4 linked regions of the Arabidopsis thaliana genome follow. The protein of the gene in region 3 interacts with the protein of the main gene of each other region in a pairwise test. Each region holds a gene or a part of one and is shown on either strand. Other genes may lie near its edges. The genes, in order: NF-YB2, NF-YB7, NF-YC12 and NF-YB5.

Region 1 (7,436 bases), 4.1 Mb from region 3:
AAAACAGGTTTTGTATGCTCAAATCCTTCAAACGAGTGATCAATCTATTTAGCAATTTAAAAACTTTCAGATTTATATAGAATTTGTTTTGTCTGTTACTTATTTAGGACAAATCTTTAGTGTAAATTGAGTTGAGAGTTTTGTTTTTTCTTCTCTCGTAATGATGACTTGCCGTTTGGCCAAAAGTTATGGTTTAATCAAATTGTTGTTGTGTAATAAGAATAATGGCCGTCGTCTTCGTTTTCCTCCGGCTGATGGGTTCTCTGCGTTTCACAGTTGCTCCACCACGAGGAACAGATCCATGTCTGCTTCTAGTTCCTCCACAAATCCCATGTCCCGTGAGGACGCAACAACACTGCTTCCGTCTGTTCAAGACAAGTACGGTGGCGTGATGACCGAGATGACTCATCCCATGGATCCTTCTCTCTTCTCCACACTTCTCCGATCCTCTCTATCTACCTGGACTCTTCAGGTTCTCTCTTCCTTCTTCCTCTTGTTAAATTTGATCTTATTGGATTCGATCAAAATGACAAATTTTGTTATCCGAATCAAGATACTGGTACCGATTTGTTGTTACATAGAAGAATCATTGTAAAAGTTTGGGTGTTAAAAGTGTTAGTGTCACTATTCCGCTTGAAAATTGTTGTATTCTAATGCGGGCCAGAAACTCTCTTTCACTTTGCTGCAAAAAAAATTAAATTCAACTTTTCCACTACAGTAATAGACGGTGAATAGGACTATGAACCGATCTACTGTGAAATGTTTACAAACGTTTTTATGTACGCAGGGCAAAAAGGGAGTGTGGATCAAGTTGCCAAAGCAGCTTATTGGTCTTGCTGAAACTGCTGTTAAGGTCTTGTTTTGTTACCTAATGCGCAATCAGATATCTTTAAACCCCCTTTTGCTTATTGTTTGGAGAGTCTTCATATCACTTACTGGTTGTGTATTATGTGTAGGAGGGATTCTGGTTTCACCACGCGGAGAAAGACTACTTGATGCTTGTCTATTGGATTCCCAAAGAAGACGATACGCTTCCTGCCAATGCATCTCACCGTGTTGGCATAGGTGCCTTTGTCATTAACCACAACAAAGAGGTTTGATTACTGATGAGATGAGATTTTTAGTGTGTCTTTTTGGAACATCTCCAAGAATGGATCACATCTCTTTTCTTTTCTGTATTTGAATCCAAAGGTGCTGGTGGTTCAAGAGAAGACAGGGAGATTTCAAGGTCAAGGTATCTGGAAGTTCCCCACCGGAGTTGTGAATGAGGTGCTGGTTCTTATTAAAGCTCATTACATGGTTAGGTTCAGCTCTCTGATTCGCCTTTTTGTGTTTGTGTTGAGTCAGGGTGAAGACATTCATGATGGCTCAGTCAGAGAGGTGAAAGAAGAGACCGGAGTAAGGCTTCTTCATGCCTCAACTTTTCACTGTCCTCTTTACAGTTTACATGAGACCAAGAGCTAATCCCACTCTTCTGCATCGTATGTTTTCAGGTGGATACAGAATTCGACCAAATATTGGCCTTCAGGTAGCAACTCCAACTGCATAATCTTCTATATTGCAACATAACTGATTCTCGTCTGTTTTAAAATTCTGGCAGACAAACACACAAAGCGTTCTTTGGAAAGTCAGATTTGTTCTTCGTGTGCATGTTAAAGCCCCTTTCTTTGGAGATCAACGCACAGGAGTCAGAGATTGAGGCAGCTCAGGTAACAGTTTTTGCTCCTCACTTCAACGACTCTCCAGTCTCATCCACTAAAACACTCATAAACCTCTTCTCTTTCTGAAAATGGGAATTTGGTGCAGTGGATGCCTTGGGAGGAATACATAAATCAACCATTTGTACAAAATTATGAGCTATTGAGGTATATGACAGACATTTGCTCTGCTAAAACCAACGGAGACTACGAAGGCTTCACTCCTCTCCGCGTCTCTGCACCTGATCAACAAGGCAACTTGTACTACAACACCCGCGACTTACATTCGCGCAATTGACCTTCTTTCTCAACAAACAGAGCTTTCCTCACAGATTCTAACGAAGCTGGTTTCTTTGCTGCCTCTCTATGTAAGCATTTTGACACTTGAATCACTACATAACTCTCACCAAAACATAAAAGCATCCCAAATGAAAACATTTGCATTCAATACAATGGCTTTAGTTACATACAAGATTCAATGAAGCAGATTCGTTAGTGAATCCTATTGTTCAACAAGCACACTTGATCTTCTTTACACAGCCTCAAAATCTAAACCCTTAATGCACATCTGATTTTACATCACCAACACCAATGTTCGTTCTATCACATGATAGATACCTTATATGGGTCGTAAAAATAGGCATGTGTATACATGTATTTATGTATCTATATACAGAGAGAGATCCACTTCACCAATCTTTGTTAAGTCCTTGTCCTACCGGAGGCAGCTCCACCTCCACTGTCGCTACCGCCACCTGTGGCTCCATACATATGGTTCTGCTGGTGAAGAAACTGATGATGTTGGTGATACTGCATCCCACCACCACCACCGTAGAACCCACCGCCATCTCCGACAGCATCTCTCTGATGCTCTCCGACCTCACCACCAGTCTGTGGCCTCCCTAGTCCAGTCCTCTCCCCTTCGATCTCCCTAAACCTCTGCAAGTAAACTTTCAATGGCTCAACATAATCCTCAAAACCTAGAGTAGTCATAGCCCAGAGCAAATCGTCTCCGTTGATCGTCTTCCTCTTCTCCTTCTGACACTTATCAGATGCTTCTCCGGTGACGAAGCTGATGAACTCGGAGACACACTCCTGCATCGTCTCTTTGGCATCTTTAGAGATCTTGGCGTTGGCGGGCAAGGCCTTCTTCATGATCCGGCTGACGTTAGCGATCGGCAAGAACCTGTCTTGCTCTCTTGGAGACAAGGAGGACTGTCCGTTCTGGTTGTTCCCGTTTTGCCCTCCACCGGAATCCCTGTCGGAATCCCCCATTTCTGAAAATTACAAGGAATAAAAAAATAAACTTTACTCTTTTTTCAAATCATTTCCATCAATGATTCGAAATCGAATTCAATTGGTGGTTGACTTGAGTGGGAAGACTGAAGCGAGAAAATTTAGGGTTTTAGAAAGAGTAAAAAGAGCAGGTGTGAATTGTTAAGTGTCGGCTGGTATTGTACACAGTGGTGAAGGAGTCGCCGGAGCTTATATAAAGAGAGGACGCACGACTTCTGCTCACTTGACACGTGATCTTATATGAACCGTCCGTTTACTGATAAGATTCTGACAACTGGATACGTGCTCGACCGTCGGATTGGAATTGATCTTGTTTGAGAGATAGACAGCCCTTTAAGGCTTTGCCACGTGTTGTGGACAGTTAGTGGACCCGGCACACTTTTGTCACGAGCCGACGCGCATAAGAGGAGCGTGGTAAACACACAGAAGAGAGAAAGATAGCGCGTGGAAAACACGGAGAAGATAGGTGGGCGTTAGGGAGACAGAGGGTAACTGCCACTCAACGACCCTTCGGTCAATTTTTCACTTCTTTTTTTTTTTGTGTTACGAGCGAATTGGGTTGGATCATGAGGGTGTGGTCTGTGGTGGGGTTCATTGCCATCAAAACTGCATCGACCAATCAGATCAGACAGCTGTTTGGAAACAAAAAGCGTCCCAGTTTTGTCCACTTTTGACGGTCTCGATCTTCTCCTGTGGGTCCAACCATTGTCGCTTTTCTAAGCGTGTGATTAGTTAACATTAACAATAATCACCAGCTTCCAGCTGTATTAAGCTCTTAATGACATAGCTAATACTTGTCCCACCTGGAGAATCCTAATGGGCCGTTAAGATAATCAAACTGAATGGCCCATTAAAGGTGATGGACCTATTATCAATATCTAGGCTTCTTTTAAGCCCATACTTTTTTCAATGTAATGAGGACTTGAGAAACTGTGGTTTGGTCAAAACCCTGCTGACTCCCACCATCAACTAGATATTCTGAGCACGTAGACACGACCAAACCCACGATGTTGAAGCCGTTGTGTTCAAAGCTGAATGTGTGCGAGTATAGTTGAGGGTAGGCTTGAATCTTTTGGTTACTGCATGACTACTCTAACTGAATTGGCTTAATTAAATAAAGAAAAGGAGAAACGTCACACTAGATACAAAAACGTTGCACCAAATATTATTATTAAAATAATACTTATACAAGGAGTGAAAGAGTAGGCGAACCACTCAGTAATTGCTTCCAAGTGCCGTATCTCTCTTTCTCTTTCGCTCTCGGTTCATTGTTTCATTTGGAAGATTCAGCTCTAAATTTGACCCTAACAAGTCAGCCACGATTTTTAATATATTTAGAAAAGATACAACTGAAAAGAAAAAGGCTACTACAAGGTATAAAGAGAGACACTGCCGTACAGAGCTGTGTGACCTGAAGCCACCACGCAAAGGGTCTCTTCCTCTTCTTTAGCTTCCTTCTTCTTCTCTATATATTCATGCTATTTTCATTTCTTTAACAAAATACAAAGAAAAACAAACAAACCTCTTTTCTTTGTTTTTAACGATGGGAAGCTTCTTCATCATCCGTTGCTTCTTGTTACTCTCTTTCTTCTTGTTCACCGGAGCATTTGGGAATAATTTATGGACCAGAACGGAAATGGTGGAGATGGCTGGCTACGGTGAACAGAAACTCTCCTCTGTCGTGATCACCGGATCTCTTCTCTGCGACACTTCACGTCCTCACCTTCACTCCATCCCTATCCCAGGTATTTGTTTCTCTACCTTTTTTCTTCATGTTTCTTGTCTTCCGTCCGAATATATACTAACATGATCCTCGCAGGTGCCACCGTTGCCATCAAGTGCCACACTGGATCCAAAAGGAGGTCCAAATGGATTAAGGCTGTTACTGATGAATTGGGAGAGTTTGAAATCGATCTTCCCTCCCAACTCCATGCGATTCCACACCTTGAAAACACTTGTTTCATCAAGCCAGTATATGTGCCTAGGCCCTATAGATGCTATAACACCTCTACCAATATACACAAACCTATCAAACTTGTTTCCTCTACCAATGGTTTCCGTGTCTACACCTCAGGGAAAATCAGGTTACAGGGCCACAGTTCGAGATCATAGCAAGCTCGTTGAGACAACATTTCAACCAAAAGATTTGAACACAAACAGCTGATTCTTCAAGTTCCTTCATGTGAAAAGCATTTTTTTTGTTATGGTCCTCGTTTGCTTAGCTGGCGCTCCAGTCACAGAACCGAGTTAGAGTCTCTCTACATTGTGTTTCATGTTCCCAAAGTGTAAGAACAAACAACTGTAAGCATCATGTATATAAAGGCTCCCATGTTTTTGGTACAAAAGTAGTGTGATCACATTAGAATATATATCATATAAAATGTTTAGCAGCAAAAACCCAAATGATCATATTGGCTGAAGCAAAGACACACTGACACAGAGCATGTCTCTAAACTTGCATTAACTAAACATTGAAAACAAGAGAGACAGAAAGGCAGAGATACAACTCAGGACTCAGACGCTTTGGTAGGAGTTTCAGAGAGTATGTATGTTGCAACATCACCACAACAAGTAAGCTTATCAGCTTTCTCATCAGGGATCTCAATCGAGAACTCTTCTTCAATAGCCATAACTAGCTCCGTCTTGTCCAAGCTGTCCAACGACAAATCTTTCTGAAAATCAGCCCTTTCAGTAACCTGCAAGTAAACAAGCCCCGTGTTACAAAACAACCATTCACCAAAATAAAAGGTTATACACAAAGAAAAAGCAGCAGTTTTGTAATCCCTAACCTCAGAGGTGTTGGTTTTGTCGTATTTCTTCACCAGTTCAATAACCCTGCTCAATATTTGATCTTGGCCTCCATCTGCAGCTGCTTCTGATGTGAAATTAAAAATACCAATACTCTTGAAACCATTCTCGTTCTGAAGAAGCGAAGTGGGTCTGACAGAGACTCTCAGTCTCAAGTGTTGCAGGATTGAGCTCCTAATGCAATGCATCTGAAACAAACATGAACATTTCAATCAAAGTGGACTAATTTCTAATCAAGTCTTCAGCTTTTAAAGAAAAACCTTAAATATTCCCTCTGGTGATGCCTAATGTTTCGACACTGATATGGAAGAAATCAAATTCAAGGACATAAAAATTGAAACTTTAATACACGGACTATTAATTTCCAACCACAAAATAGATCGAGAGCTCTTCGAAGCCATACCTGCGACTTTACGAGTGAGGATTCTTCTTAGGTCTGATTCCTCTGAAGCGGGAGACAATGATAAGTTATAGCAGAGAATAGGAGTACAGAGAACACCTACTGGGCCGAAAACATTATTGGGCTTTAAGATAAAATATATGCGGCGCTTCGTCTTTTTTAATCAAATTGTAGGCCCAACAAATTTTATGGCCTTTTCAGACAATTGTTTTGCTCATTTATAATTATGGCCATGTGATTGCACTGATTATAAACCTAAGTTTATTTCCCCGATTTAGTAAGGCTGCTTAATCTTGGATTCTTGCAAGATGAGAGTTAAACTTAAATAGTATAAAAGAGATAGTTGGTACATAGGCTACAAGACTCTAACCTATAATGGTTAGTGGATGATATTCATTATTCAATCTCATCTCCACATGTGTCTAACGTTTGATGTCACGCTTTTAATTAATTAATTCACTTATGTATGAATTAGATGATCCGAATTTTTAAACTCTGGATTAATGTTGTAAATCAAAATTTCAACGGTGGAAATTTGACTTGTAAAGAATAATACAAAAACGATCAATAGTTGTAATTTTATATATATATATATATATGTAATTTAGTGGTTAAATGTTGTCGATGTGTTTTCTAATAGGATAAAACCGACATAACATGATGTTTTTGTTTTCTAAAGAGTGTAAAAAAACCCAAATAAAATAATTGGACGGCAAGAAAGTGATTAATGTAAAGAAGAAAAGTAAGCTTATGAAAGTTGGTAATAATAATTTGGATGCACAAGTAATGCCTTGTGTACTTGTAAACATCTTCCACTTGGTTGATGAATGATTTTAAAAATGATTATTCAATTCATAACAAATTTGATTAGTTTATTTGAAAGCAAAATGAAGGGACATAATTAAAAAAAAAACTGTGGGATGGCAATCTTTATCGTCGTCATCAACCATTCCCCATGTTCCTGCCCACTTTGATTCCCCAAAAGCTCTAATTAGAGTTTCATGCCATTTTCATTTTAATCTTAAAATTTCATGCAATCAAATAATTGTCACATGTTGCATCTTTCATAATCATCTGATTAACGAACCATTTAAAAAACATAGACCTCTCTTCAAATTAAAGTTATGATGATCAACTAAAATCTAGAACTAGGAAGAAATCATGATCAACTTAAGCCAATTAGCCATTTTTTATTAACGATAGATTTTATTCTTTAACTTATGGGTAAAAAGGTG
Region 2 (7,697 bases), on a different chromosome or scaffold from region 3:
TTATTCTCAAAAGAGGTAATGAAAGCTGCCAAACGGCTAAACATATCTAGTGCTATGCAACAGAATCAGTGATTTAACTAATTAGATGAGCGCGCAAATGAAATCTAGTATTTCTTCAGTGACCACTGTCTTCATAATCTGGTTTCCATGGTAACTGCTAAGTAGATGAGTGAGCTAGTAGAATGTAGCATAGCTCATTGCTTGCATGATTCTGACATATGGTAGTTGATTTTTGAAGTCATTGTTGGGATATTGTGTTGAAGGTTTTAGAAGCAATGAAAGGTTCAACCTCGACAAGGCCTGCTATATTTGCAATGTCAAACCCCACAAAAAATGGTAATTTGTCTTCTTTCTTTGCCATAAAATGTGTTTTGCGGTTATTTGTGATTCTTTTTTGGATAGATGTAATAGGTACTTGTGTTTTGAATAACAGCTGAATGCACGCCTCAAGATGCATTTTCGATATTAGGCGAAAATATGATTTTTGCGAGTGGAAGCCCATTCAAGAATGTGGAATTTGGTATGTATGAGGACCTCTGTATCATTTAGCATACGCCATTTTATATGAGGCTTTTTCAAATATTAGTACCTTTTCTTGTGGCAGGAAATGGTCATGTAGGACATTGCAACCAGGGAAACAACATGTATCTATTTCCAGGGTTGGTTCCTCTTGTTTATTGTCCGAAAGAATTGCATACATTCTTGAATTGATACATTAATTGTCATGAAATAAATTGATTTTCTAATCCTGTAAAATTTATTGTAGTATTGGACTTGGCACTCTTTTATCTGGTGCTCCCATTGTCTCCGACGGGATGCTTCAGGCCGCATCCGAGTGGTAAGCTCCTTTCTTTACCTTTTTCATTTATCATTCCTGATTTATTCTCAACTAAAGCTGAAGTGAGTACCATGATATATAACTACGGACCAAATTTAAATGATTATTAAGAATGTCCGCATATTTGGCTGATGTCACGAACTATAACATACCCCCCATCCACGAGACAGGAACCACAGTAGTTCGACATGTTCTCTCCAAATGGTATTCCCAATAGTAGGCCTTCGGTTGAGGTTTCATATTGTAGTTAGTGTAAAACTCATATTTTTAAGGAGACCATGAAAATAAACAAGTCCCGTAATTTATGAATGTGGAATCATGACATTGTTCTGCTAAACTACTGCAGCCTAGCAGCATACATGAGCGAAGAAGAAGTGCTAGAGGGGATTATATACCCTCCAATATCAAGGTAAGAGTAACACAATCAAAGAACATCCTTACTGTTACATAAGAAAATGTTTTGATATAGTTGCTACATTTGGCATGTGGAATTGAAATTTCAGGATACGAGACATAACAAAAAGAATAGCAGCTGCGGTGATTAAGGAAGCGATTGAGGAGGATTTGGTTGAAGGATATAGAGAAATGGACGCTCGAGAGATCCAAAAGCTGGATGAGGTAACAATTCAGCTAATGACTTGCTTTAATATAATCATAAATGATAGAAAAAGAAAAGATGTCAAAACAACATCCCATCTTTCACGTGTTTTGGACTCCTGATCATAAAATCGTATTCTACGAAGAATGTCGATCGGGTTTGATTATATGTAAAGAACAGAAGAGTGTTTACCTGATTTCTCACTTAGAGAAAATAAAGACTAAACCAGAAACTAAGCCTAAATGTTAGTTATGTTGACGCGGTCTTGTGTATTCCGCAGGAGGGGCTGATGGAGTATGTGGAAAACAACATGTGGAATCCAGAGTACCCGACTTTGGTCTACAAGGATGACTAAGTTTGGTTCCCAAAATGAATAAGTCTACTTTCTCTTATTTATATGTAAAAATTTATAATTGGGGTTGCTTTATACCCAATCAAATTCATAGCTACTGCTTTCTCTTGTTCTTATGTAAAAAAAAAAAAAATATATAATTGGGTTGTTTGTTATCCAATCAGATTCATAGCTTCCACTTTCTCTTATTTATATGTAAAAAAGAAGTTATATTCAATCAGATTCATAGCAGCAACATTTTACATACATCGTATTAGAAATGCATTTACTTTTATAACTTATAGTTTCAGGTCAAGATACTAAGAGTAGTGAGTGAGGAACAATTTGAAGTTCTTTAATTCAAGCAATCATCTTTATCAATCATAACATGAGTAAATGAATGAGAAACAATACACCATTCTCTTCCAATTAAGCTATTCTCTACTGGAAACCTTATAAGCTAGACCACTAACTCTCAAACCGTAGGTGGTAAGTATTCTAATCCAATTAGCAGCATGGAATTAGTTTCTACTGTTGTAAATCATGAGAGATTGCTATATTTGCTCGAGACGAACTAATCCGGAAAATATATGAAGACGAATTTCTGTTACACAAAACCATGGGTATACTGAAAATATCAAAATGTACGTGTCTAGTGTCTATATAGCAACAAATATATATAAGCATCAAGATGTACTCACAAAAGGTAAAGAAAAGCATATAATATGTGAAAAGAAAGAAGAAAAAAAGCAAATGTCTCTCTCACCAGTGAATTGAATCAATGTTATTATCATGCTGCTGCGGGAACTGTTTCTGCAATGATTTAGGAGAGAAAGCAATATTGGGAAAAGGTTGATGATCCACTGGTAGGAATGGAGAAGGATGATGATGAGAGATGTAACTAGTACATGACATGTTGTTATTGTTTTGGTCTTGTTCTTGAAACTGATAATTATGATGATTCTGTTGTTGAATCTGCTGTTGTTGTTGTCTTTGTTGTTGTTGTTTTGGGCTGTTAACTTTCTCTCCTTCGGTGTCTCTATATTTGCAGAGGTAGACCTTTAATGGAGCCACGTAGTCTTCGAAACCGAGAGTTGTGATAGCCCAAATGATATCATCTCCATTGATGGTCTTCCTCTTTTCTCTTTGACACTTGTCAGAAGCTTCACCAGTGACGAAACTAATGAACTCCGAGACACATTCTTGAACGGTTTCTTTAGCGTCTTTTGAGATCTTACCGTTACCGGGAAGAACTTTTTTCATGATCCTTCCGACATTCGCAATGGGAAGAAACCGGTCTTGTTCTTTGTTGTTGTTGTTGTTGTTGTTGGTCTTTGAAGAAGGGCTTCCTGGATTTGTTTCAGCTACTCCAGGAGACCCATGATCTTCTTCTGGGCTCTCCTCAGTCATATCTCTATCTCTTTGTTTTTTTTTGTGATTGATGTTAACCACATGTGATCAATCTGATTTTATGGTTAAGCTTAGTGCATGAAACTAGGCAACTTTTCTATTTATGGATACCTTGCCAACCAAATTTGGAACTCCATGCGACTCGCTCCTTTTTTTTTTTTTTTTTTTTTTTCTTTGTTATTTGCCAGATAATAAAGAAAAGTGTAAGAAAATAGCAATCATGTAACATATTGTCATCAAATAGTGTTTTCAATTTATTATTTTCCGTAGTATGTTTATTTAGTATGTAGACAACTATAAATTATCATGTCTCCATAATGCTTTGATTTATTGTATTATAGTAATTTCCTAAACTCTAGCCTGGTAAATATATATGGTGGTTATTTATCCGAGAATATTACACGTAAAGGCACTATTTTGAAACTTTGGCCACAAATAGGCACTTTAAAAGCATTAGTCACTTTAACTCAGTAGAATTACCCCTTTACCCTGAAATCGTTAGTTTAACAAAACCTAACAAATTTAGCCGGTTTTCGGTTTAATTTTTTAATCTCAATCTCTAAACTAAAACCAATTTGTGAGAAACCTCTTTTTCTCACCCAATCCTTCACGACGATTTTACAGTTTCATTTATCTGGGCAGTTAAAATCATCACAACGACGATAACATCATCTCGACTCCGGCGATCATCCCAACGAGTTTTCTACCGGCAAAGTCATTTCCTCGTCCCTCTCCCGTCGTTATCGTCAACAAAGCTTTCAATCGGCCGACATTAATTCGTCCTCTCCCGTCGTCGTCGTCAACACTTGTTCTCCCGTCATGGTCTTCATTTTCTTGTCTCTCAATCGATTCGTCGTCTCCGGCGTGTGCTAGTAACTTCTACTCGGTCCTCAAATGCAAGGTATTAATCTTCTCCAATCATTTTATTTGCTCTAATTATTCAACCGTGTGCTAATTTTATTTATAATATCCAACATTGTGAAGAGCTAATAGGTGAAGACATGAATGCTACGTTAGGTGATATTTCAAAAATGTTAATCACAAGACCTTATCTTCTTACCACAGACTTCGGCTTGCTTATCTCCTCATTGTTGACGGTGTCCTCGTATCCTCAAACCAACCTATTACGTCTACATTAAAATATGTAGAGATGTTGGCAGATTTGGAGAAGTTCCTTAACTGACTGAGGTCTACGTAACTGACTGTCTATACACATGTGGATAAATGGTCAAAGAAACATGGATAATATACTTTGGATTGACGTTTATTGTTCATGTATAAACTTATGTATTAGTATGAAACTATCATGTGAGTCTTTAGATGATCATGGACTGGACTGCTTGGACAATCATTAATGGACAAATATGTCTTTGATTTGCTGCGAATATGTTTATAGCTCGATAAAATTGTATCAACATGTCTATATACATGTGGATAAATGGTCAAAGAAACATGGATAATGTACTTTGGATTGATGTTTATTTGTAAATCTTAATATAAATGTCATCCAGTCATAGTGAATTATCCAATCAGACAAACGAATTAATACAGTTATGTTGTGGATGGATTCATATGGATACATTAACAATTATCTTTATCTTTCAACATGAAAAGCGTTTGATATGGATACATTAACCATATCGATAATCTTATCTCTATATTGCTGTTGAATGTTTTAGTGGTTTGTATCATATTATTTGTTTGTTCCATCCATAACAACATTTTTTCAAGTGCATCTAACATTTGATATCAGTTAACAATGCGAAGAAAAATAAATAATTTTGTGTATTTTGAACTATTGTTTATTTGGTAAATCATTCTAGCTAATTATGTTTACAAATACGTTAAAACTTAATATAAATGTCATCCAGTGATAATGAATTATCCAATCAGACAAACGAATTAATACATTTATATTGTGGATGGATTCTTATGGATACATTATCAATTATCTTTCTCTTTTACCATGAAAGACAAATCTAAAATTCCTTCTACCGGAAATATTGAGATACTGTTGTATAGCGGGAATATTCCCACCATCAGGTTTTAAACTATATTGTTTACAATATGATCAAAAAAAAAAAACATATGCACACTTAGAGACAAAGAGAAGCTCGTCAGCTCTCCCGTCTCAACCAGCTCGTCAGCTCACCCGTCTGAAGCATCTCGTCAGCCGGTCCGTCTCAAGTAGCTCATCAGATCGCCCGTCTCAAGCAGCTCGTCAGCTCACCCATCCGAAGTATCTCGCCAGCCGGCCCGTCTCAAGTAGCTTATAAGCTCGCCCGTCTCAAGCAGCTCGTCAGCTCACCCGTCCGAAGTATCTCGCCAGCCGGCCCGTCTCAAGTAGCTTATCAGCTCGCCCGTCTCAAGCAGCTCGTCAGCTCACCCGTCCGAAGTACCTCGTTTGCCCATCCATCTTGAGTAGCTCGTTTACTCGTCCGTCCGAAGTGTCTCGCCGACTTGCCCGCCCAAAGTAACTAACCTACTCGCACGTCTCGAGAAGCCATTCAACTCGTCACTTATCCGCCGGATCATCCCTAAAACTGCCTAACTCGACATACGACCTTCCTCCAGTAATGGCCTAGCTCGTTTATCGCGATATGAACTACGTGTGGCTTGATCCCTTTCTAAGGGTACGTAGGCAGCCTTTTGCAGTTTATCTTTTATTGGACTTGATATGTTGGATACTAGTTTTTTTGCCGAAACAATTTCTTAAATTTTTTCCATACGAGTTTCTTGTTTAATGGTGCTCAAGTCAAACCTCCAGCACCAACCTGTAGTAAATGCAGTTATCGATGGAGATGATATCATTTACAGAGACTACGTGGATATCAGTATCGCTGTTGGTACCCTCCACTCTAGTTATTCTAAACCTTTCAGATAACTACAACTTCCATCATATTAAGATTTTCAAAGTCTGTAAAAAATGGCTATTGCAGGCCGATACTAATTCAGGGAGAGATTCCTAATCGACGCAAATAGGCCTCTCCAACAAATCTCTCTTTCTCTCTATCACACTCTTTATCACTCTCTGCTATCGTAGATCGGAGAATCTCCTCTGAGAGCTCTAATCTCTCAGTAATCTTCACCGCGTGTCCGGATCTAATTTTCCTGTAAGTAATCTCATTTTCAAGATTTATCTGCGATTTCTTCTCTTGATGCTAATTTTCCTAATTTTCCCCGAAGAATCGAGACCATTATGTGGAGAAGAATCGTTTCATCGCATCTTAAATCCATCTCCGCCGTCGGGTCCTGCGCGGCTCCGTCAGATTTGATTTTCGATATAGCCTTTAGCTATCAGTGTTACAATCAATTATCACAGTGAGAATTAACAACCATCGACATTGAGATAATTTCACTCGGCGAAGGTAACTTCCTTTTCTGTAAATATCAACTGTGGATTTATTAGAAGGGAACCAAATCAAAACAAACATTTCTAACCGGGTAAGTAAATTTTTGGTTTAGATGAGTGGGGATATAATTGTCCATTTATTTTTCAAAAACAAGGAAAAGTGCCTTGTACGTGAGAAGTGCCTCAAAAGGAATAAAAGTTTGTAGAAGTGCCTAAACATGTCCAATTCCCTATTTATCCACAACAATATATTGTCATCGATTTTGTCACTTTTCTTCAATACGTTTCCTCTCACGAACCTAAATGGAAGAATTTTCTTGAAACCAGTTTTCTTAAATCATCATAAATGAAATTACTATTTTTATAATGTTAATAAATTAAAGTGAATTAAATTTTGTAATAGATTACGTCATTAGAAAGAAAGAAATAGAAAGCACATAAGCAATATCTTCCATCCACATGAACATAATTGTGATTTTTTTCTTGTGAAAACATGATTGTGATTTTCTACAAATATAAAGACGAGACTAAAAAACATGATTGTGATTTTCTACTAATATAAGAGATTTAGAGTTTTAGTAGCGCTGTTAGTTTAATAATATTATGTTTAAAATAGGAATATAGATCTTTTCCATCTAAATCTGATCTGTTAAAAACAAAAATAAAATAAAAAAGAGTTCTAGTAAAATAAAACCATAGACCATATATTCTTTTTTTAATATGTGTTTGCTCATGTCTAGAATGAATTCAAGAACACATTTTTAAAAAAAGGTGGTCGTCAATTGGAATTGTTTGTAGATTACGAATTTCTAGAACTGCAGAATTCCTAATAATATATTAATTACAATCCAAAAAGTACGAATGATTTGTTTTTATACAAATGCTTTTAGTATTTCAAACAACAATTTCTTTCATTTCTTATGAACGACATTTATTCTTATATTTATGAATTAATTATATTAGTAAGTTATGTTGCATTATCAATTATAACTATAGTTGTATACATATTTGATATATAAACATATAAATGAATATATATGTGTTTGACAAAAAAAAGAAAAAAATATGTATGTATATTACACATATATCATATGGTGTAAGTATTCATTCATAGTCTAAGAAATTTCCACAAAAGGTTCTCAACATTTACTTAAAACATATTTAATAT
Region 3 (8,988 bases):
AAATTGTAATGGGACATTAAGCAGCTATATAAATATTATCTATAGAACAAGAACATGTGAAATATTTGAACTTTTGATTTTATATGACGGAGTGTCGTTTACTTCACCGTCCATACTTAAAAACAAACATATTTTGGTAAACAATTTTCATAGAATATAGAAGAAAAATATATCTCTTGCTTACATGTCATACCATTAGTTAATTACATCCTTCCTCGACATCATTTGGTGTCCTTTGATGTTAAACCTTACTTTGGCACCATACTTTACATTTTTCGGTACAATATGATTTGACAAGCATTAGTTTTGGTTAACATTAGTTTTGGCAAATATTCCGAAGTGGCAAAAGAGTGGCCATACAAAACTAAGGATACGAAAAGTTATGGTGTTGTACAGAGTTGTGCCCCACCCATGGACATTATTAAAGAGAGAAACCAAAATAGATCCACCTAAAACGTGTTCATCAAAATGTGTAGAAAACTTTTTCGTGCAAATGACAAAAAAAACAAAATAAAATAAATAAAAAAATAAATTACATAAGTAAAAATATCAAACATTGTATTATTCTTTTTTGGTTTAGGAGGAAACACCGAAACATTGTATTTTTATTCAGGAACAATAAATAATACACATAGTTTAGTGAATGAGTTTATGATAAACTATTATAAGGTGAACATAACATAGAGTTGTTGGGTGATTCCTCTTCAGATTTCTTCTCTTCTTCAAGTTTTTGTCTTCCAGAGCAGCTTCATGTTCACTGCAGATCCGAAGCCACAAGTACAAATCCATAGCAAGAACATAAATCTTAAGGAACAAACAACCAAATGGTTTCTTATTTTCTATTCGCAGTCCGTAAGTAAATTAACTCGGTATCGCATTCATCAACAAGTATCAACTAACTACTCAAAAAACAACAAGATATCAAATTGAAATCCTTCAATGAATCAAATACTGCAAATGCCAAATGTCTCATGGATTTCTCTGGATACACCTTTATATATTTATCCCCTATCTAGTTAGTCTCTATGCACAAATCTGTTAAGTCCTAACAATGATGCTAGCAAGATTGCTCTCAAATTGAAGCTACTATGAAGTTCTTTTCTAAATGGGTTCTCTAACAATATGTTTACTAGTGCATCCTCAATCTAAAATGTTTGCAAAACAGAAACTATACACTAATGCAATTGTTGTATGAATAGAAGCTCAAAGAAAACTACCTGGAGATCACAGTTGAGGTCAAACCCGACAGAGCGCTCTTCCATCATATTCTCCTGGTTTTGGTGCAAATGCAATAAACGAACATGAATTCTAACTTAGCATCGCATTAAAATGCTTTGTTTCAGATAATACCAATTATTAAGTAAAATAATCACCTCCTCAATCTGGTCCATATCGATTGGAACATTCATATCCGGCAAAATCATTTCAGCAGGAGGTTGCACACCCTGAACAGAAAGATTTAGCACATGAAAACATAATTTTTTTGATTTCACGAGTAAGATTGCGAAAAGGAGCTAACCTGATGGGTGACACAGTGCGGTCCAAAAGGGACACGATCAATCAGGAAATCATAAGTTCCTGAGTTCTTTACGGCCTGGAAGATATCACAACGCCGGATGGTCTCACGAGTGCATGATTGAGTATGCATCCAAGCTCGTAATGTTACCTCTAGAATGAAGTATTCACAGGCTTTCGAAAACAAAGCAGGAACATCACAGCTTATCTTCTGAAAATTCACATATATCTTAGGAAAAAATTGTAATAACAAACATATTTCTTCAAATCTTTGATGTCACATATATCTTGTCTATAAGTATTGATATCAACCTTAGAAAGATGTCAAAGGAACAGTAAAAATAAACAACACTAAAACATTCTAACAGTAAAACTCAACAGACTAACAAATTTGATCATAATGGCAATTTCAGAAACTCTAGACCAGCCAACATAATTCAAGTTAACCTCACATACCTTGACTTCAGGATCAGATTTCAAAATCTTTCTGACCCTAGATAGCGGCAAATGAGTTTGGCCTGTAGGTAACCAAAACAAGTCGAAGAATTAGCATTTAGGTGTCAATGCACTCTTTTTTCCTATTTAGGTACTCTAAACATCTCTTAATATCAGTCACCTGCAAAGTTTCCTAGCTGCTCCCTTTGATTATTCCAAAACACCTTCAGAGCTGTGTCCAACGAAGAGACCCCCTCGATCTGTTTAAGACCAAAATGTTAAAGAAACATACATAAAAAGACTTTAAGCCAAAAACACAGAACTAGGACTGACTAAATTTACCTTGCTTGTTTCAGGATGATTAGATCGAAATTGATCAAGCATTGGCATCGTGTTATGTGAACGAGGCGCAACAGGTTCCATCCTGACGTGAGATGACTTTGGCCTCCTCATGTTATATTTCACAACAGATGATGAAAAATCTTTGAAGATGTAGAGTTTGGCAAGAACAAGGGTTCTCTATATATGGAGCTAGAATCATAACGTAATAATAGTCATTTAAGAGTGTACCAATGACTAAGAGATTCCTTTTAAAGATTGTGAACAAACTTTTCTGGAATAAAGAGGAAAACATTTAATACTCACACGTTAGTAAGGATATACCTCGTGGAGCTCGTGAGGCATACATACGAAAGAACCACTCGCAGACCTTTTCCGTGAAAGCCACGCGCTGCGTAGAAGAAACCTGATGACCGAATTCAGTCTATATAGTAAGAGCACATAGTCTAAATGTAATTTCAAGAACCCAAAGATATCAATATGCCACAACTCATCTAAATGTGATCCAGTCTCATCAATGAAGTTGTCACACAAGTAAACCTGGATTAGATCAAAGCCACATCAAGTTTATTGAGTTCTGATTTTGGTAACTCTTAACTTCCACAAATGATAGAAATGTAATGGCATAAAAACAAGCAAACGATTTTACAAACATTTACATTAGTAAAAATAAATATATCCTATTTCTTGATTATGGTATCAGTTAGACACCAACTTTCACAGAAACAGACCATAGCGAACAGTGACCAACACCCTAGATCTTGTTGCTCTTTAAGATTCCACAAACCATGAACCCAAAAAAGATATAGAACAAATAATTCATATAACTATGCTCACACATTGTCAAACCAGTACCAAACATATGCACTACATGGTACCCAGAAATCAACATTTTCAGACAACTATAACCAAAATTACATACAGAAACTCTAAGTTCATGACAGAACAGACCCAGGAGAAAAATTCTTCCTCTAACTGGCCTAGTGTATTCATAAAGATCAGCAACATACAAATAAATGTTGAAAGCCAATGAAAACAATGGTTACCAATCGTATGCTAGAATGAGTCTACTCCATGTATTATATGATCATGCACAACAATGAACAAGAACAAGAATGTGAATGTGAATCATTTCATAGAATTTAGATTTCTTAGAGATTCTAGCAATTGTTATTGAACGCAGAAGTCAAAATGATTTGAGTTTTTAACTTCTGCGACTGAAGAACTTGGCCAAGCGTGGAACTTTCTTTTTCTTCTTGATTACAAAGAAAGTTGGAGTTCCAACAGATGAGTATCTTCTTGGCTTCCCACGTTGGACCGGTGTGAATTTTCCAACTGGTTTGGGAGAAATATAGCCTTCAGCTTCCGAGTTCCTCTTAATCTTCTGAATCTCACCCTCCACCAATCTCTTCGTCGACAATGACCTTTCCATCCTAAACACTTCTCTCTCTTCTTCCGCTTTCGTCATTTCACTTTCTCTCATCAAAGTTTCCGTCTTCATCAGAAACGATTTTGTGCTAGCCTTGAGTGCTTCCACCCACGCCGCTGCTGCTGCAACTTTCTTCTCTGCGGTTTCTTCCGCTTGTGAAGCATGTTTACTCAAATACTCGTACTCAAACCTCGAGATAGTGATTGTTGAACAATGCTCAGACTCCATTTCGCGACTCTCCATCATGTCTTCTACTAAAGATTCAAGCTTCTCAAGCACTAAAGCCTCAGTGTGCTTCACTTTTTCAAGCTCATCCAACTTTGAATTCAGTTCGCTTTCCTTTTTATCTATATCAAGTTTGGTTTTCTGTGTTTCCGCCTTTGTAACCGTCTTCTCTTCTTTGAAAAGGAACTCCTCTTTCTTTGCAGCATTTCTACTTTTCTTTATCTTCTCAAGCGAACCAACGAAATTCTCAGCAAGAGAGCTAATCCTTTCTTCGGCGATAGATACCACTTCCAACTTCGATTTTTCGATAAGAATCTTTGAGTTGAGTTTCTCAATCTTAACATCATCTTCCCTCAAGATTTTTCCAAGGCAAGCTGTTTCATCCCTGGCTCGGATAATCTCATTCCTCAACGCATCCATTACTGTCATGACCCTGAAGATCTCTACTTTAACAGAAGCAAGTTCCTCCTTCTTCCCTTCAGTCACTTCTTTCAAAACCGATAAACTATACTTCCCTCTTCCAAAAGAACGGTTTGATCTCGACATACTACTACTATCTCTCCCCTGAACTCTCCTCTCCATTTTCTTGAAAAGCTTTAACTGTGTTTCCAACATCTCAACATCCGTACTCGTCTCAAACAACTCAATTTCAATATCCTTCGATCTTTCCGCCTCTTCCAACATGTTCTTGATTCTCTTATTCCTTTCCACCAACAAATCCAAAACCTTTATAGCTTTCCCTTCTCTCTGTCTTTCTATCTCTTTATATCCTTTCAACGCCTCAATCTTTCCCAATGCAACCATCAAATGTTCCTCATTCGCAACCTCGATTTCCTTCTTCAGACTCTCCAACAATCTCAAACCCCCTTCCGTTTTAAACCGCAGTTCTTCGACTTTTTCCTCTGCTGCAACTCTCTCTATCAAAACAGATGATACATCAAGCTTCACTCTACTCACTTCTTCTTTCACAACCTCCAAAACTCTCATAACTTCCGCATACTTTTCCTCCATCTTCAACACTTCCATATCCTTTTCCTGAAACCCCGCAGAACGATTCGACCTTTTTATCAGTAACGCGAGCTCCTCCACCGACTTCTTTACCTCGGACAATCCCGCTTCTACTCTAGCTTTTACAGTCTCTGAATCTCTTCTACTCTCATTGTACCAACCAAGTTTCTTTCTTGACATATGTATAGCCTCCACAACTAAAGACGACTAATTACAGAAATTTATCCCAAAGAAAACAAAGAAACATCATCAAATCCTGAGCTTTAAGGAGAATCAATCCAATTTGAAGATTTTTGGTTTACCTTAACGACTGGTAAATCCAACAAAGTAGAACTGTTCCTCTTCATGTCGGAATTTTCCATTGCTCGATTCAACATTTGTTCTAACAATGTAAAGTGGCAATTAAAAATCCAATCTTTTTTATCACCAAACCATCAAAACACATAAAGAAAACAAACCCAGAGATTTTTTCAATACAAGAATCGAATTATAAATGGACAATAGTAAACGTACCGGTGAGTAAGAAAGAAACAACCGGAGAGTGATGATGAAGATGCTTGATAAGTTGTTATCATCATTTTGATATTCCTGGGAGAATATTTAAGACGTTTTGTTTCTTCTGGGAATATAAATCTGAGGACGAGGACTCAAGTAGTCAAGTAGCATGAATAATGGCAAGAATCACAGAAACTCAAATCCGTAACTTTGGCAATATAAATAAGCTTCTCAAATTATTAACAAATCGTCTGGGTGGTGTAGTCGGTTATCACGCTAGTCTCACACACTAGAGGTCCCCGGTTCGAACCCGGGCTCAGACAATTTTTTGTCACTTTTTTAAGAAGCCCACTTTATCTTAGTTAACGCAGCCCATATTAGGCCCAATAAATTATCTACTTTAACGGACGTAAACAAACTTAACACGTATGAAACTTTCTTCTAACTTTTTTATAGACCCACTTGATATTTATTCTTAAATACAGCTTATACAACTAGGTCCAAAAAATTATACATATACTATAACGGACGTACCACATACTTAACATGTGTTTGAGCAATTGTGAATCATGATTATTTTCACGTCTTTATGCATGATTGCCAAATGTATGAACGTTAATTAATAAGACAAGACCTAAAGGCTTGTCCGTTACAACTACATCTACTATATATAACAATAGTTCTACCATCTTGAAAATCACAAAACACATTTTCAAATATACTTCAAAGAAAAAAAAAAATAAAGCTGTGAAAAGGATTTTCAAGACATGAAGTTCACGGGAGTAGTGTTCATTTTGTTCGTGTTAGGTACCATGTTGTCTCCAGTTCCAGTCAAAGCAAGGGTGGTCAAAGGTTCCGGAGAAGAAGTGAACGTAACGTGTGATGCGACGCAGCTTAGTTCATGTGTAACAGCAGTAAGCACAGGAGCACCACCATCTACAGATTGTTGCGGCAAACTGAAGGAGCATGAAACTTGTTTGTGTACATACATTCAAAATCCGTTGTATAGTTCGTATGTTACTTCTCCAAACGCTCGTAAAACGTTAGCAGCTTGTGATGTTGCTTATCCTACTTGTTGATGTTTGTGATATTACTAAAACAAGCTATTAATGACAATAATAATAAAAATTTAAAACTAAATCTTTATGTAACAATGAGTCGATGGTGAAGATATGGTTTTGAATTGGGAGGTGACATATCATATTATAGTATCCAATGCATGGCCAGTTAAGATGGAGGGCAGTAGGTGTGACGGCTGAGAGTCTATTCCCGTGTTTCAATAATTAAGTGATTTATTTTAAATAATAATAATGGTAAATTTGAACTGATGTTTTTTTTTGGGATTTTGATTTGAGTTTCGATTTGGCGATTTTGTCTCGTTTCAACTGACAAAACAATGTCGTTTAGATACAACAGAGACGACTAACAGGAGTTTAATATCGTAAAAGTTTTTAATTAGTCTACTAAACACCATGCCTAAGTGACTGGTCAATCAAACTTTGTCATTTAAACTTAAAGTTAACCAAAATTTTACGATTTTAAATTTATTTGTCTTCCTCGTAGTTTATGATTTAATCGTCCCAAATTCAAAAATTCGTATTTTTTTGTTGACATTTTTACCTTTTTCTTACTAACAAAGTAACAATGTGACCGTGATACACGATAGATCATTAATGGAACTGTTCAAAAATATAAAAAGTACCAAAAAACTTCTTAAAAGTTAATCATACAGTCAGTCCAAACGGTTTAATCTTCATAAAGATTTTTTAAAACGAGTCTCAAAATCACTTTTCTAATTTTCTAGCGGATGAACCATGTTTTGGTCATGAGAAACTGACAAATCATTTCATGTATCTGTAAAACGCCTAACATCACAATGCGAATGAAGATGTTGTTTAATCAAACACCGAATGAATTCCACGAAGCAGATCGCCTTATTATGATCAAAAGAGCCCCACATTCGCGTTCGTATGTCCTCTACCCTATCCAAGCACTATTCTTCTTTAAATATAGCTAGAACCATCTCAAGCATGTTCAAGCCAAGGCGACTAAAAAAGCAGTTTAAATCCATCTTGATTTAAATATGTTTTTGGCTCAAAAGAAAAGAATGTAATGTTATGGCCTGTTTCTTTGAAGAAAACGATATAACAAATTATTCTGTTAGTATATTTATTTTTTACCATAACATGTCATTTTATGTTATTCAAAAATGTTATACGGTACAAATGTTATTCTATTAGTACGTATATCTACATTGACACACCATGCATTCTCCATTTTAACGTTCAATAACGATCAGTCAATTAAATTGGTCTTTAGTCTTTTAGAATTTTATATATCTATTCGATTATTAAGATGATATATAATTAAAAAAAAGATTGGAGGGGTAACCGAAAATGAGAATTAGTAATTCCCTAGGTAGGTTAAAATTTAGAATTAGTAAATCATTATTTTCCACGTTTTCATGCATGATTGCCATATGTATGAACGTGTATTAATAAAACCAAACTTAAAAACTTGTCCGTTACAACTACATCTATATAACAGCAGTTCTACCATCCTGAAAATCAAATCACATTCTCAAATACACATTTTAAGAAAGAAAAAAAAAAATTGAAAGTTGAGAAAAGTTCCTAGAGTTTGAAGACATGAAGTTCACGGCGCTTGTGTTCATTGTGTTCGTGGTGGGTGTCATGGTTTCTCCAGTTTCAATCAGAGCAACTGAGGTCAAACTTTCTGGAGGAGAAGCTGATGTAACGTGTGATGCAGTACAGCTTAGTTCATGCGCAACACCAATGCTCACAGGAGTACCACCGTCTACAGAGTGTTGCGGGAAACTGAAGGAGCAACAGCCGTGTTTTTGTACATATATTAAAGATCCAAGATATAGTCAATATGTTGGTTCTGCAAATGCTAAGAAAACGTTAGCAACTTGTGGTGTTCCTTATCCTACTTGTTGATTTTTGAGATATTGCTAAAAAAAGTTGTTAATGATAATAATATTTAACAAACATAAGCACACATGTTTCTACATTTTTGTATGCTTTTTTTTTCTTCGTTTCCGACTTTAAAATGGTTAACAAAATTATAGTGTTATCCTACTTGTTGATGTTTGAGATATTGAACATCATAGTGTTAACGTTAGAAAATAACTAAAATACTTATGTTTTAGTTTAACCACAATTTTTAATTTAACTATATGAATCTTTAATCTAAAGTATATTTACAACAAATTAATATTCAAGTTATTGTCGAATGTCAATAACTCAATTAGTAAAGTATTTCAACAAACCGTAGAGGTAGATGGTTTGAATGGAGCTTGGGATGAAAGAAACCAAATTAAATACTCTGGTCTCTCCCGACATGAGGGGATGTACGAGCCAATGCCAAGAGCCTCTTAGTAACAAATGGATTTTGGTCGCATAAATCCATATACATTTATAAATTGAGATTCATTTTTCTTTTTGCTTTTATGAAACATAAATATATATATATATATATATATTTATATTACATGTATTTTTTTAAAAAATATAATTTTA
Region 4 (7,301 bases), on a different chromosome or scaffold from region 3:
TTTGAACAGGGAAAGCGAAAGAGTTCGATAGCCCGGCTCGCTTGCTGGAGAGGCCGTCTCTGTTTGCGGCGCTGGTGCAAGAGTACGCTCTCCGATCTGCCGGAATATGAATCTTTTACGCCGGCGGGGACTGAAAATATTTTAAAACCTTCTTCAAATGAGATTTGTATCAAAGAAAATTCCTATAATCTCACATGTTTTAGATTCAAAAACGACATCGTAATTTTAGTGCAGCAAGCAACACAGTAAATTTTTAATTCGCTCACTATACTTCAAACAACTCTCTAATAACAATCCAGTAATCTACCAACACGTGAATTTTTCTCTATTCGTTTCTATTTGCAAGATATTTTAAAATTTATATGTTTTTAACATGAAAAGCATCAATTAATTAGTTTTTTAAAGTTAACTAATAATAAAAGAATAGTAAAAATACAGCATATATTTGAGGCAAGGGAAATAAAAAAATTACATTTCAGTTACACTTTTTAAATAACTTCAAAGAAAATGAAATAAAAAATAAATAATTATAAACATCTTATGAAAATAGACTAATAGAGTGGAGCAGTGTATTTTATTATATTGAATATTTTGTATCAAATACATTTTTTGATGGATGCACATGATCTATATAACTTCAGAATTTGCGTGAAACGGTGATATGCGTGAAATTGGAATCTTTGGTTTCTTCAAGGTATAAGTTAGTCGTTTTTGAGAATTACTATGTAGCCTATGATTGGTCGCTCTTCTTCAAACCTTTTTTTGTAGTACTTACTAAGAAAACAATTGCTACATTTTATAATATTATAGAGAAAATTTAACACAGTTAATTGATGATCAACACTAGTGACACAACTAATTCACCGAGATTTTCAGCATGTTTTGGTTCTCGGTTTTTTTTATACCAGAAATCACTTCCAAGACCTTGCATATTTGGATTAACACGACGTCACTAGACAGTAATACACTATTGAACTCCTCACTAACCAGCTTCTCGCTAACACACACGAAAACTTGAGATCAACACCATCGTGCGGAATCATCCACTGCAAACAACATCAAAGGAGATGAAAAGGACCACCAGATACAAATTCAGCTTCATGTTGACTCCTCTTTGGAGGAATCATATATAGCCGCTTTTGGTTCATTATGTTCTTTTCATATGCTATTTTTATATCTTAATTACAGCCCTAATTAACATTCAATTATGACCTGTGTGTAAAAGCCTCATTATGATTAATATATATTTATATTCTTTAACAAAAAGAATCCGTTGAAAACACATTCTCTTTCTCTATCTCATTAGCCAAAATATTTGGCTCCCTCTAAACAGCCAGTTAAATCTTAAATAACATGATTTCTTTTTATGCATCATAGTCCTGTTTTACAACGTCGATATATACCACCTCTATGATTTATTATAGGCCAACACATTAACAACAATATTTAAATTAAGATATATCTCTTTTTAAACTTAAGATTCTATCTCAACTTAACATTTTTTTATTTGGTCAAACATATCAACCAATACATAACATCTTTTGAGAAGGCGAAAATATTTGCTTGATATCAACAGCTGAAATGGTATTAACAAAAAAAAAAAAAAAAGAGTATAATGGTCAAATTGAAATTTGGAGTAAAAAGTATACGTTATTAGCGTGAGTCAGACATGTATAACTTTCTTTATGTGGAAGGTCCAGGGATCTTGTGTTAGTAAATAACATGTGAGAACTGATCTGGATTTATGGACCACTCGCTCTTAACTAATCAATTTAGCCCATTTTTATTTCTTAGTACTATATACTGTTTAGAAAGTGAATCACGTCGAAAATAGAATTAATCTATATCGACATAAGGTCTAAATATCAATTAGGCTTTAAAGAAAACAATATCGAAGTAGTAAATTTTATTTTTCTATATGATGTGTACGGAATAGCTAGCATTTTAGTGTGGATAAATGAATGCGAATAATCTATATGCAAATGCCATAATCTAAAAATATATCTAAATACTGAAAGTCGACTAAGTTTCGCTTTTTGTCGAAAGAAATCAATTGATTTAACTGAATAAGAATTCCACAAACTACGAAATTGCAAAGTTGATTTCTTATATATAGAGGGTTAAGTAGTCTAGATCAGAGGAAAGGGACATGGTAGTATATATCCTCACTGTCGAAATTAATCTACAAAGTTGATGATATATTAGTTCATCTTCATGATTGACGGTTTTAAAAGTTAGATGGTAAACAGTTAAAAACCGGTTTGGTTGGTTGTGGCAGGACTTGTGTTGTTGTATGATGCTCGATTTAATTTTATTTAATTATACCAGTCGAAAATTAATTAAATCTGAATAAATTGTTTAAAAAGCATTAATGAAGCAACCAAAAGAAAATCCCGAAAATGGTTCATAATATACACATCGATCGATCTCCACTCCAATATATGTAAATAAATAAAAATATAGAAAATAACAAAATCAGCTGGAAGAATTAACACAGATTTGTTCAGTACCTCACACCACATACATGTTATATCATCATATACATAAAATTTATTTATATATGTAGAACAATATATGAGAAGATAGAAAAAGATAGCTGGTCCTAAAGAGGAAGATGATGACATGGAGATTAATCAAGGAAAATCAAAAAGCGATGGAAGAATTTTAATTATCTGGCGAGGATTTAGGTCCTCCTTTGCCGTGATGATTAGGTTTCTCACCTTCGAGAACTCGGTAACGATGTAAGTACTTCTTGAGCTGGGCGGCGTAATCATCAAACCCTAGATTAGCCATAGCCCAACAGATATCGTCTCCATTAACGGTCTTTCGCTTCTCCTTGTGGCATTTATCGGATGCTTCTCCCGTGACGAAGCTAATGAACTCGGACACACATTCTTGCATAGTCTCTTTGGCTTCTTTAGAGACCTTTGCGTTTGCTGGGAGGATGTTCTTCATGATCCTTCCTACGTTTGCTATCGGAAGTAGCCTGTCTTGTTCTTTTACCATCATGCTTTCTTCTTGCTGTTGATCCTCCACCACCACCACTAACCCATCATGTTCATGTTGATGATTAGATGAGCTGCTCCCGAAGTTGTAATTCTGGTATCGAGGGATTGGATTTTGGAACGAATGATAATTCCCCGCCATCAGAATCTTATAATTAAAGCAGAGGATCTATAAATCTTGTTTGGTGAGGGGTTCGTTTCAGTATGATTCACAACAACGAATGATGATATAGAACGAAGATATGTAATTTGCCAAACTATATGGCACACAGAAAAAGGAGAGGTTTTAACATAAATGTGTTTATTATGTATACATCTAAAAAAATATTCGTTTTGACAGAGAGATTTGTGTAGTTAAATTAGCTTTATATATAAGTAGAAAGGCAAGAGAGCTAATTAAGGAGTATCTATCTATGTTTGTCTGGTCAGAGAATGGTGGTGACGTGTCATACAAACCAATGAGAGTGGTCTAGGTCACAGGGGAGACAATGTGGCAGGTCTAGCTAATTTCTCTCTCTCTCAATTTTCTTCTAATTATTTTCTCCTAAACCCTTTTGGTTGAGTTAAAACAATTAAAATGTAATCATAGAATAAGATGTGTTGCAAACAAAATAATGTTGAAATGTGTTAAGAATATATAACACATATATCATTCCTTTAGTAGTGAATTATCTCGCCTTTGGGAATGAATATGATATGATATCCTCAACGTACGTGAAGGCGAAAATAGTTTGGGGTTGATGACGTACTTGATGTTACCCTAAAAAGGAAGTTTTGGTCCTCCTGCTTAAGTCAATACCGTCTATCTGTGGATTGACTCCACACTCCAGTTAGTCTGGAAACTCTCCTCAACCAAAAATTATTCAATTATTCCACATTCCTCCTTAAGAGCTAGTCACTTTAATAAACGATAATATCGAACTCGTGGACCATATAAAAGCACGTCTTGTGGTCTATAATTAGTAGTCTGCTTGCCAAAATTGAAGAGGCTATAAATAATATTTGGTTGAATTATATTTTCAACTACTTATTAATAATGTTGTTTTAAAAAAAAAATCGTTTTTTAACTAAAATATTTTATATTTTCGAACTGAGGAAATACATAATTTTTTGTTTCACCACACTTTTGATATATATATTTTGTCAACACATTAGGTTTTTCTTATCCATCTAGAACTCAATCTCGATGATATAACCTACTTTAATCAAACTACCATTTAAATTCTATGAACTTTCAAATCAAAACTAGTTGGATTAATAATATATATATATATATATATATATATATTTCCTCTTATATGTGATTTTATGTTTTTACTTACTTTTTACCAGTATTTAATTATTAGACGAAATTTAGTTTATATCCGCAAAACAGTGATTTAGTTAGTTAACTAGCTATTTATATTTTAAACTTTAATTTATTTTGATTGGCTATACAGCATTATGTAAATTCTGCATTATATTGAGACGAAAACATTTACAAGCTTTGTCGCCTTACTATGGATGAGAATAATATGAGCTGTTTAGCAAAACATTCCCATTTATTATTTAAAGAAGTAATGTAAAGATAGATTTATAAATTACATAGAGGATTTTACAAGATTTTGGAGAGCATGGTGTTCTAGAAGTATGATATGTTGGCTATTATTTTATGTTATTTGTTTTCCCGAAAAACCTAAGTCATTAGTTAAATATTACAGCTACATATACATATATGTAAAATCATTAACAAAGTGAGGACAAGTGTCGACCGATGGTGGATCGGACCACCTTGAAACGGATAAACAAATGTTGAACGCCTTTAGATATTAATTAATTATTGAACGATGCATGATGACGTTCATAGCATTTCTATATTATAAACAGTAATTATTAGTATTACTTGCTCATTAACTTGGTTCTCTACCTCCTAATCAAAAGATGAAATTGACTCGTCATAAATGGTTTCAAACGGTTTAAGGTTGTAATAATGAAACTAGCTAGGTCATATGGTTGCATATGGAAGTTTATTTTTCGAATCCTACACCAAAAGTATGTTTAGTAGAAAAACTAATGATGCGCCTTACTTAGTTACTTAGATAAGAATTACTACTAATGAAAAACTGTGTGTATATAATATGTGTATTTGCTGGAATTTCAGGGAGAAAACATATAAAGCATTAATTAGTTGTTGAAACCATGAGAACGTGAATATACAAATCTATATAGTACAAAATTTAAGATATTAAATCCTAAAGTTGGTCGATAAAATAACACCTTTGTGAAATGTCCTCTCAAGTATGGCTTGATAGAAAAGGAAACGACTAGTGATTTTTTAAAGTTGTTATTAAGGAATATATTTTCGATTCTCCAATGTCTAATAAAATAAATTTAATTAAATTGAATTAAATCGCAAACGCATATATTTATTCATATCGTCGAATAAAAAAGCTGGTATATATAGTCATGCAATTATAGTAATCTAATTAACTAAGATCAGCATAAGCAATATATATATATATATATATATATATATATATATATATATATATATATATATTTGATGGCATTTTTATTGCCCACTTGTAAAGATCGAGTATAGTGAATCTATTAAGCGTGCGAGTAGCTTTGTGCGTGGTCCATGCTGAATTAAACATTGTTTCAGTATGTTTAATACAAATTGTTAGTCTGTCTTTAATTAGTCTTGTCTTTTTTCTTTTCTTTTCTTTTTGTTGTTATAAGTTTTCTCTCGTTATTCGCCAAGAATCCAAACTATATATACACATTTCAACTGGCGAGATTGTTTATAGTTACTTGTGAAAAATGTTGACTTGACCCAGACCCGGGAATGTATTTGGAGTTTGATCACTGGGCTTTCGCATATGGGCCAGTTGATCGCCATGGCCTGTTTCCCTCGGTCTCCACTACGGTTCATTATCCCTAAGTAGCACAATATGCTTGGACAGGAAAATAAAAAAGTAGGAGCATTGTGATGCTTTTTGTGAAACAATTGGGTCATTATTTGGGCTAAGTGAAGAAGTATTAATTAATTAATTAAAAAAAAAGTTTGGGCTGTGTTGTGTATATGACGCGAATGATGAGAGGCAGCATTGGGTCATTATTTGACTTCGAGGGTGGTAATTCGCTTAGCCTCAATTTTGGGCTTGAAATGAAAATAAGCCTTTGAAGTTCAATTATTTTATTCTAGGTACCCAAACAAACAAACAACTATATAAAGAAGATTATTTGGCTTGTACGGAGTTGTTAGACCGTCGTCTTTATTTTTTTACTTTTTCTTATTTTAGACACTTGTGTTATTTATATATATCATGACACCTTAAATAATAGAAGAAAAATAAAAGAAACAGTAATTATCTAAACCAGTTTTAGAGATAAAAGTTCATTCTTGGGTGGTCAACGCAACATGCATTGGTTTAAATTGCGAGTCAAAATTTGACAAAAAGTTTTTAGAGTTAGAATAGTTAAATAAAATTCTCAAGTATTCTAAAAATTAACATGAAAAAGAAGATAAAAATTAGTAAGAGAAAGTATAAATAGGAAGTAATTAAACACGTACGGAGGCTAAGTGAAGAAGAAGTATTAATTAATTAATTAAAAAAAAAGTTTCAGTTGCCACGAAAGCGAAAACATAGTAAAATGACGGAAACAGGGTAAAGGAAGACGAAGAGACAGTTGTAAAGACAAGGTTAATTCAGGGATTTTCCATTTATCAGAGAGGCCCATCTAATCTATCTATCTCATTCTCTCTAGTAGAGAAGAACGCGTGTTCTCACGCTCTTATTACATTTTTCATTTCTTTTAAGGAATTTATTAACCCCCAAAAAACAAAAAAAAGCGTAAGTAAGATCCATCGTATTCATATGCAGCAAAACACACACATTTACATACATATATATATATATATGTTGTGATTCTCATTTTTATTTTTTATTTTTGGGGTCGCTCTTTGTTGAGAAAGTCTGCGACAGAGAGAGGAGAAAGAATTTGGATGTGTTGATGCTAAAGCTGTGTGAGTTTTACGAGAGCAGAGGTAAATCTGAAAGCTCTTTCCTTTCGACCACGTCTTCCTCTTCTTCCTCCTCTTCGTCTCCGTCTTTTAACGCGACTTGTCTTTCTTTTTTCTTTCTTTCTTTTTATATAATATTGCTTTATAAGTTGTAATTTGTTTTGCGCTATCGGTCTCGGCGTTTCTTCTTCTTCTTCTTGTTGTTCGTATCGTTACCTCTTCCTTCACACGCGAAGTTGACATCTAGATTCAATACATAGATTGGCTCTGCTTTTTGATTTTATTGCTCC

What was found.
Region 1: the proteins of NF-YC12 (region 3) and NF-YB2 interact in binary tests that used the Arabidopsis thaliana proteins (3 or more experiments, as listed by UniProt).
Region 2: the proteins of NF-YC12 (region 3) and NF-YB7 interact in binary tests that used the Arabidopsis thaliana proteins (3 or more experiments, as listed by UniProt).
Region 4: the proteins of NF-YC12 (region 3) and NF-YB5 interact in binary tests that used the Arabidopsis thaliana proteins (3 or more experiments, as listed by UniProt).

What each region holds. Positions count from the first base shown.
Region 1 is NC_003076.8:19,304,950-19,312,385, reverse strand, and holds NF-YB2 (nuclear factor Y, subunit B2), read right to left. Parts: upstream 3,160-7,436; 5' UTR 2,973-3,159; coding exon 2,400-2,972; 3' UTR 2,114-2,399; downstream 1-2,113. Other genes in the region: NUDT2 (nudix hydrolase homolog 2), read left to right, coding at 161-472, 788-853, 957-1,094, 1,192-1,269, 1,348-1,398, 1,494-1,528, 1,601-1,709, 1,807-1,995; AT5G47635 (Pollen Ole e 1 allergen and extensin family protein), read left to right, coding at 4,537-4,738, 4,813-5,105; mtACP3 (mitochondrial acyl carrier protein 3), read right to left, coding at 5,501-5,689, 5,783-5,989. UniProt on the Arabidopsis thaliana protein: Component of the NF-Y/HAP transcription factor complex. The NF-Y complex stimulates the transcription of various genes by recognizing and binding to a CCAAT motif in promoters.
Region 2 is NC_003071.7:5,653,313-5,661,009, forward strand, and holds NF-YB7 (nuclear factor Y, subunit B7), read right to left. Parts: upstream 3,207-7,697; 5' UTR 3,178-3,206; coding exon 2,530-3,177; 3' UTR 2,079-2,529; downstream 1-2,078. Other genes in the region: NAD-ME1 (NAD-dependent malic enzyme 1), read left to right, coding at 1-15, 264-336, 434-520, 605-659, 767-838, 1,185-1,247, 1,342-1,456, 1,717-1,791.
Region 3 is NC_003076.8:15,219,623-15,228,610, forward strand, and holds NF-YC12 (nuclear factor Y, subunit C12), read right to left. Parts: upstream 2,903-8,988; 5' UTR 2,596-2,902; intron 2,482-2,595; 5' UTR 2,404-2,481; coding exon 2,293-2,403; intron 2,211-2,292; coding exon 2,132-2,210; intron 2,034-2,131; coding exon 1,972-2,033; intron 1,727-1,971; coding exon 1,520-1,726; intron 1,446-1,519; coding exon 1,374-1,445; intron 1,272-1,373; coding exon 1,218-1,271; intron 758-1,217; coding exon 755-757; 3' UTR 586-754; downstream 1-585. Other genes in the region: AT5G38160 (Bifunctional inhibitor/lipid-transfer protein/seed storage 2S albumin superfamily protein), read left to right, coding at 6,214-6,525; AT5G38170 (Bifunctional inhibitor/lipid-transfer protein/seed storage 2S albumin superfamily protein), read left to right, coding at 8,095-8,406. UniProt on the Arabidopsis thaliana protein: Stimulates the transcription of various genes by recognizing and binding to a CCAAT motif in promoters.
Region 4 is NC_003071.7:19,580,274-19,587,574, forward strand, and holds NF-YB5 (nuclear factor Y, subunit B5), read right to left. Parts: upstream 3,346-7,301; 5' UTR 3,148-3,345; coding exon 2,665-3,147; 3' UTR 2,385-2,664; downstream 1-2,384. Other genes in the region: ABCC4 (multidrug resistance-associated protein 4), read left to right, coding at 10-110. UniProt on the Arabidopsis thaliana protein: Component of the NF-Y/HAP transcription factor complex. The NF-Y complex stimulates the transcription of various genes by recognizing and binding to a CCAAT motif in promoters.